2 linked regions of the Oryzias latipes genome follow. Each later gene encodes a partner of the first gene's protein in a complex. Links are inferred from orthologs where the notes say so. Each region holds a gene or a part of one and is shown on either strand. Other genes may lie near its edges.

Region 1 (3,890 bases):
ACATTTTTCTCTTGCTGAAGGACAGTTTCCATCTGCGGCTTGAAGAGGAAGGCAGAGAAGACGACTATCAAGATGAACAGGATGAGATCAACGAACTGATGGAAATTGTCCTCAAAAAAATGGTGAGATGTTGCCCTCCCATCTGCCTTTGTCACATTTGGATCGATGTTGATTGTAAGAATTTTGTCTTGATGTGTGCAGATTTATTTTGGTAACATGCCAACATTGCTTCCTGTGATTCCACAGGACCACGACAAAGACGGCAGGCTGTCTTTTCAAGATTTTGAGAAGTCTGTAAAAAAGGAGGAGCTACTCCTTGAAGCCTTTGGAAGCTGCCTGCCCAATTTCAGGGTAATCACAACCAAAAGTTGCTGAGCTTAAAAATATTGTAAGGATCTATTTAACTTAAATCTTTCTTTTTAGACAAAGAAGAAGTTTGAGCAGCAAGTACTGGAAAAGCAGCAAGATGAATAATAAAATATGAAGTGCAAGCGGTGTTCAACTTTGAGACTTTCATGAAAGAAAAAGCCAAAATGTTTTTCTTAAAGTACAATTTTATTTTAAGTTGAGCCTTTCAACGTTAGTTTTGATAAATATGGACAGTCGTCACTAAAACAGAATGGATCATATCCGACGGCGTGGCTTAACCTTCTTCTCCGCTGGTTTGAGGTCTGGGACCGATGTCACCTAGGAATGAATGAAAAGAATGAGACTGAAATGCACCAATATGGCATCATGTCAAGCTCTAATTCTCATTAAAAAAAAAATAAAAGACTACCTGCTTCATTGTGCCCCTGATCAGATTTACTGTTGTGTTTAGCGACTGATCATTCATGTCCAGCTTATGTGGTTCTGGTAGTTTTGGTCCAATCAAAGACGGTTCTCCAGAATCAGGCACTGGCTGTTTTGTGGCCTCCTCCATTTTGCGGCGTTTGTTCTTTTCCAAATGTGCAGTTCTTGGAACAAGCTTGACGGAAGAATCTGGGTTGGAGGCCAATTTTTTTTCGGAATTAGGGTCTTTACTGAAAGAGCTAAAGTTCTGGACTTTCTGCTGTTTTACGTCAGGAGGCACTGCGTCATGTAAAGTCCCCATTTGATCTTCTGTTGGTTCGTTCCCACGATAATCCTGATGAAAGTATTCCTGCGGGGGTAAAGGCAGTAGAGGAAATCCGGAACAATGGCTGAAGCTTGAAGTCTCGCCTGTTTTGTCACTATTGAAGATTGGATTATTTGTAGCAAAAACTCTGCTTGATGTGGGAACGCTTTCTGAAGACGTAGATTCCATGTGTACCGCATCCGCTACTCTTTCTTTTGCTGTATAAACATGAAACAGATAAATGACACTCATCAAATTCTTTATCTATACTTTAAACTTACAAAACAACAAAAAACATTTGATTTCAGATAAAAATACACAAAAAAAATTTTTTAATCACAGTTTTTTTTCATTGAACTTTTAAAAAACAATTACCTAAGAAAAAAAAGATTCAGTGCTTTTCAACACCGTATATCGTCAAAATGCGATAATACCTCTACTCCGAGCCACTTTCAGAACATAACTTCTCCTGTCCTGCAGCTTTAACTTGGTGTCTTCCACAGACTCGTACTCCGGGACGTAACACACATGCAGCACGCCGCCATAGAAACTCTTCTCATCCATGTTACGTTTCGCCGCTCTGGAACATCAAATATCAACCTGAATGACATATTTTTCAGCATTTCTGGTTTAGGGCAGTACAGTTAAGGTGCCCGCCATACCTAGCACTTGTCAGTTTTTGAAACTTGACCAGGTAGACTTCTGTGAACTCCTCAGCAGGATACTCGTCCAGCGGTCTGTATTCCTCCACTGTTCCATAAAGAGCACACAACTGGATCAGCTCCTCCATCACTCCAATAGCGGGGACTCCCTGGATCATCACATAACGGGACTCTAAATTTATTGTGTAGACCTGGCAGATACAAAGGCATGGTTATTAGTATATGTGAGGCTGTTGACGTGACCAATAAAAATCAATTAACTTAAAGACATAATCATCAGATCTGATGTACTTTCCTGCAACTCAGAAATCCAGTCTACTGTATTAGAAATTTGATTTTTATGGTTTATTAATTACAATTTTTTCGAAATGACTCAAACTTTTTACCATGTCTTTTATTTAATTTTATTTATTTATTTTTGCCAAAACGACAGTTTTATTTGTTTTTTTAAGACCTGCCGTTGGTCTTTTATTTATCACTTGCTGTGTGACTACAATTTATACTTTTTTCTTCCAGTTAAAAAAAAAGATTTTAAAATTTTCTCTTACATTCTTAAATGTAAAAATAAAACCAACTTACACATAATTATTAGCTCGTCGCTTGCGTCAACACAGACCGTCTTTGCTACAAACATTAGAAACGTTTTTCTTACCTTGACTGCTTTAGCTCTCCTTCCATCTCTATATTTGGGTCTAGAAAAACATGCGTTGTGTTGTTCGTGATGTTTGTAGACTTCTGGGACCTTCCAACAACCAGGTTTACTGTTGACATTTGCCGCCATGTTTGCTGAAACGCGTTTCCGCTTTGGTGGCATTTCAAAACAAGAGTTCATTCCGTTGTGCAGAGCACTCAACGTGTAGTGTTGACGACGTGGCAGTCTTATTTTGAAATGATCGATTCCATCGACAATCGACTGTTTTGTCTGGATCAGTTCTCTCATTCATCGAAATGTTTGTTGCACTTTGGCCGTTAGCGCACCAGCATGTTAAGCACTTTAAATGCTAAAATAGCGATGTAAACGTCATGTTTAGCAACCAGGGAATTCAACCAGTATGTGTTGTTTTTAACAACACTAAAAACTGCTTTATTCAACTCTCTTCAAAGCTGATATCGCACCTTTCTCTGAATGAGGTAAAGTATTAGCTAATTACTTAACATCGCTTCAGTTTTGTTGCATAAAGTTTACTGAATAATGACTGCTTTTGTGTTTTACACATTGCTGGTTTGTTTCTCTGACATTACAAGGGGACCTTTGGTTGCATTTAAGGTTTTAGTTTTTCTTAATTAAAACTTATAACAAAAGCAGAGCATTTTTTTATTATCACGTGTACTTAATTAGTATTAGGAAGTAATGCAAGGCAACAAAAAATGAATTGTTGGTAAAAATAGAAATTGGGCATCAAATACTGTCCTCATTCAGGGGTCTTTAGTCTAAAGGAAACTGCATTGTTTTGATTTTTAACACATTAACTCCTAGAAATAGTTTAATTTAGAAAAGGTTGATTATTATAATAACTAATGTGATCATCTCAATATTTCTATATTTTGCTACCACACCTGTGGAATATTTTTGCAATTTTTTAATTTAATTCTTCTGCTGAGCATAAAATCTGAAATGTATGTAATGATACAAAATGTACAAGAATAAAAACTAATAAAGGTATCACAAGTATCTAACATTCATAAAGTTGGAATCATAATTTCGACATCCGCTTTAAGAGACCATTCTGTGTCTTATTTCATCGTCTCTCTTTGGCCGGTCCGTTTTAGAATCAGGCTTTGGAGCTGTCTTGGGACGGCGGGTCGACAGTGTTCCTTAGCTGGTGTCCCATCAGAGCCTCCTTAGGAGCAGACAGCCACAGAGTGGAGTTGTCTCGGCAGCTTGGAGAAAAGCTCGGTTTGACTGATGGAGAACAGGTAAAGACCTTGGTTTCTTCCTTTAGGTCATCAACTGGGACGAACACTGCCTGTGCAACAGTCTCTTAACATTGGTCTGACATTGAGTGGTTTTCACAGTGTTTTCTCAGACCATGCCATCAAGTCTCTTCGCTGAATCAGGTGTTTGTGGAGCCACTGTCATCTGATGACTGGGAGATTTTGGTGAGTGAAATATTGACTTTTGTGTAATTTGT
Region 2 (4,213 bases), on another chromosome or scaffold:
TTTTTTACAGATACATTTTAAAAACAATTTCAAAGATTTTTTTCTAATAGACTTACTCAATCAACGGGGCTCCATAAAGGACAATCACAGTGTGGAAGAACAGACATGACAAGAAAAAGTACAGACAGGCACGAAACAGCCTGGAAAGCTGTGGAAAGAAACAGGATTATCATTATTACCAAAAAGTTACAACGTAGACATTTGAGAAAAATCCACTTAAAAAATGAACAATTTTTATATGTAAAAGCTCAGAAAAATTATTTTTTTATATGAGTTTGTTGTAGCAGAAAAATGTTAATAAGCAACAATTGCATATAGACTGTCATATGAATTTAAAATGTTTAACGTGAAAATAAAGCACTGTAGCAAATGTTTATAAACTCAATTAAAAATGTGTTCAAATCAGAAATACACATTTCTAATTATTACTGAAACGTCCATTTGCAAATTTGTTTTTTAAAAACGAGACAAAACGTTTACGAGTAAATAATAGGAATTAATTGTTTTGAAAAACCTAGTTTTCTATTATTTTAAATTGTGTAATAATTATTTCTGATACTTCTCTCATATACGTATGACTATTTGGCAAAAACCTTAAACAAATCAAGCACATTTCTTTGGGTTTGGACAAAATAAAGACATTTCCGAGGGAAGACATTCTGACCTTATATCCAAGTGTATTTTTTTTAGTGGACGGTGTGACGCCGAGGAGCCAGAAGACGACGACACTGACAGCATTCACAGCACCGGATGTGCAGTACAGCCACAACAGGTGAGTGCCGTACACCGAGAAGCTTAGAACAAAAACTGCAGGTAGCACCGTAGCCATGAACATCGAAGCGGCGATCAGAGCGTGGGTCGACACCATGGCTCTGATTTCGTGGTCCCACATGATGAAGACTTTCACTTTTCACAACAAGACAATAGAATAATGTAGATAATTTCAGTAGAGGTGTCTTAGAATTTTGGTAGGCGAAAGGACACGCAAATCCATGTATGACTACGCTTCCGTAAATATGAAAAAAAAAAAGCAATTTCCGTTTGCGTTTCACAATAAAACAGAAGATTCTCTTTTGATTGTTAATTTCTACCAATTTCTTTGTTTTGACATACATTACCCAACATATTTAAATCATATTCAACACTTTATAATAAAATACTATTTTCTAAAGTGAAATTTATATTTTCGAGTGCTGATTCCGTGGCGAAAATATTGTTACTCTCATTTTACTTTTATTCTGGATTTTAGAAATGCGCTTCTAGTCGGAGTGAACGAATCACATAACGTTTTACTGACAGGATTACCCAATGAGATTTGTTTGTACAAGTTGACGAAGACAACCGGAAGTTACATGAGCAGAGCTAGCTTGAACGCTTGTACACATTTTATATCAAGACAGGCCAAGTAAACGCAGCTGAGATGGTTTGTGAAAAATGTAAATATCGCACTTTCGCCTTGTTTCTTACATAATTTTACACTTATGACTTAGTTAATATAGTTAGTTAGTGACATTTTTGTTGTTTTGTTGAGTGGCTAATATTTTGTTATGCTAGCATTTGTTTTGGTTTTCCTTGCTCGTAGTTAGCTTTGTTAATTATTAATAATTCTTTGTTAATGTGGGATTTCCTAATATTTTAGGCGAAAAGAAGCTCGGAAAGGTCATCACTCCTGACACTTGGAAGGATGGAGCACGAAATACGACTGGTAACGTAGTCTCTATCCAAAAACATCCAAAAATGTTTACACGTTTAATAATTTAGACAATCGTGGAACGACAGGTAAAATAAATATGTTGCCCCCAAAAAATCTGTCTTGTAAATGAACGTCATTAAGGAATCGAAACGATGGAAGGAGAAGCTACTGCTAAAATATTTATTAGAACAGTACTCATTTACATATCTGTTTTCCCCGTCGGTCGGTCGGTCGGTCGGTCGGTCTGTCTGTCTGTCGGTCTGTCTGTCGGCTCATTTTCGGCCTACATCATAAAATTGTCTATTTATTTAAAAGTATTTATGCCCTACGTTCCTTTTCAAGAAAATGGTCTGTGACCCTGTCGTACCAACTAGGTGTCTCAACTGACTTGACCAATGTCCTCTCAATGGCCAGCAGAGCTAGGCTGCTTAAACAGCCTTAGCCCATTGTGTTTCGGGTGTAGGACTTAAGTCACTTTAAACAGGAGAAGCTCCTTTCTACACCTGCAGATGTAACTCCAATTGTTGCCACTAATGAGAACAGTTTGTAAAGCTGAGGCATTGGACTGTCCAACTCCATGTCTTTAAGGAACACCAAGTAATCATACAGCTTTCCCCTGTTACCCTGCAAGTCCTGATCTGAAAACAGGACTTGAAGTTCTGACCTCAGTCTTCCTGAATCAAAGGGAAGAATTAACTATCTAAAAAAAAATATTAAACTCTGTAAAACTGAAACAATCAATGTGGTGTATAATTGTGTGAAATGTATGATGAAAATCAAGCAATTTAGCCCAGCAATTATCAAAGAAATAGGTTGCAGCAGTTTTTAGTTCGACTGAACTTGAGAAATGTGAATAAGCGAAAAGCTTCAGTCAGAAGGCGGTCTTTTAACAGACCCTTCAATCATCACGGAGAAGCTCGGAGTTTGGGCTGGCCCACTCCCCACTCACCCCCAGAGACGCTGAGCATCCGTTGGCGGGACATAATCACAGCGTTTATCCAATGACCATCTAGTTTCGAAGCGCAGAAAAAAAATGTTCAAAGCAGCCCGATTGAAGTCAATGGACGCTGGGCTTCTTTAGAGAAATGCACTGTGATGCTGCGGGAATGTATGAGAAGGAAATCGAGTCAGGCGACTTGCTATATGTAACTGATTCTTAACGAACTCGTCTTTGAGATGAACGTTTTCTTACACATTTTTAGTCAATAAAATGTTAATAAAATAAAATACAATACAATACAATAGTACATATTTGACCATTTATTTTGTGACATTATAAGGGAAGCAGAGCTTCCCTTGCAGTCTTAAAGAAATCGCCACTGGTATGTATGTATGTACATACATGTGTATATATAATCTCACAATGTTGTTTTATTTTTCTTAGAGAGTGGAGGCCGTAAACTAAATGAAAACAAGATGTTGACATCTAAGAAGGCCAGGTGAGTATTGCACTGTGAAAAAACTTTTACTCATAAATCAAATGGCAGTGTAGTAGTTTCTAGCTTTCTGTAAGCACTAGTGGTTTATTTTGCTGTTAAGGTTCTTTGATGTTGCTAATTCTCAATGTTTAACTGTGGTTTTTCTCAGGTTCGACCCTTACAGTAAGACGGGCTTTGCCATCTGCAGAATCTGCAAGAGCTCTGTTCATCAGCCTGGATCGCACTACTGCCAGGGCTGTGCTTACAAGAAAGGTATAGTTGTGCACTTAAACTCTATTTTTATTTTCTTCAATACAAATTGAAGGTAACATGTCAAAAATTAACACTACAATGTATTGTAGAACCAAAAATCATATTAAAGCAGAACAGTATTAAGTAGGTTTTTCATTTTTATGTTCAGTCATAATATTGATATAAATTTGTCTGTAATTTTGTAAATCTTTACTATAACCAACATTGTGCTGGCATATGTTTGTGCTTCCATAACAGATGCCCATTTATATAAATGTACACATGTTGGCAAGTCCTTTATTATCTTCTCACTACACACTTTAATTTATAAAATATCCTTTGATGTAAATGTAATTTTTTTAGGGTTCCTGGTGACTGATACAAAGAATTTAAAGGTATAGGAATAGGTTAACTTAACTGTTTGTTTATGTCTGTAAAGTATTTGAACTGAGTGATGAAATTCAAACCTCAAAAGCCATATTTTTACAAACCTCGACCCCAGCCCCAAGCACTCGGCTTGCAGAAGTGGATACAAGGTTTTACATTGATTGCAGAATTGCATGTTGTGCCCCAAATATTGCAGGTTTTGATGAAGTGGTCAAAAATAGCCCCTGAGCTAAAAATTATGCCTGAATATATGCACAACCCAAACTGCTGTGAAACAACAACTAAATGGGCAAAAATAAAATATTTATTTATTGAGATGTTTGTCAAACTTTGCTATTCAAGTGAAACCCAAAGGCTCAAACTTACCGGGTGGTGATATTTTTAATGATTTTTTTTTTTGCTTGCACAATAAATATAACAGTAAATTAAATCTTTAAATTTTTATAAACTTCCCCCATAGACA

Evidence for each region.
Region 2: rbm48 (region 1) and cript share a complex: the UniProt entries of both Homo sapiens proteins name them as parts of the minor spliceosome. The link is inferred for Oryzias latipes from reciprocal best matches to the Homo sapiens genes RBM48 and CRIPT.

What each region holds. Positions count from the first base shown.
Region 1 is NC_019869.2:21,761,713-21,765,602, reverse strand, and holds rbm48 (RNA-binding protein 48), read right to left. Parts: upstream 2,588-3,890; 5' UTR 2,573-2,587; coding exon 2,411-2,572; intron 1,950-2,410; coding exon 1,759-1,949; intron 1,677-1,758; coding exon 1,531-1,676; intron 1,315-1,530; coding exon 779-1,314; intron 773-778; exon of another isoform or gene 688-772; coding exon 625-687; 3' UTR 535-624; downstream 1-534. Other genes in the region: efcab1 (EF-hand calcium-binding domain-containing protein 1), read left to right, coding at 1-122, 247-351, 424-474; pex1 (peroxisome biogenesis factor 1), read left to right, coding at 2,782-2,889, 3,529-3,675, 3,775-3,858. UniProt on the Homo sapiens protein: As a component of the minor spliceosome, involved in the splicing of U12-type introns in pre-mRNAs.
Region 2 is NC_019877.2:12,480,769-12,484,981, reverse strand, and holds the start of cript (cysteine-rich PDZ-binding protein), read left to right. Parts: upstream 1-1,307; 5' UTR 1,308-1,420; coding exon 1,421-1,436; intron 1,437-1,639; coding exon 1,640-1,705; intron 1,706-3,077; coding exon 3,078-3,132; intron 3,133-3,280; coding exon 3,281-3,384; intron 3,385-4,213. Other genes in the region: pigf (phosphatidylinositol-glycan biosynthesis class F protein), read right to left, coding at 57-148, 665-892. UniProt on the Homo sapiens protein: As a component of the minor spliceosome, involved in the splicing of U12-type introns in pre-mRNAs. Involved in the cytoskeletal anchoring of DLG4 in excitatory synapses.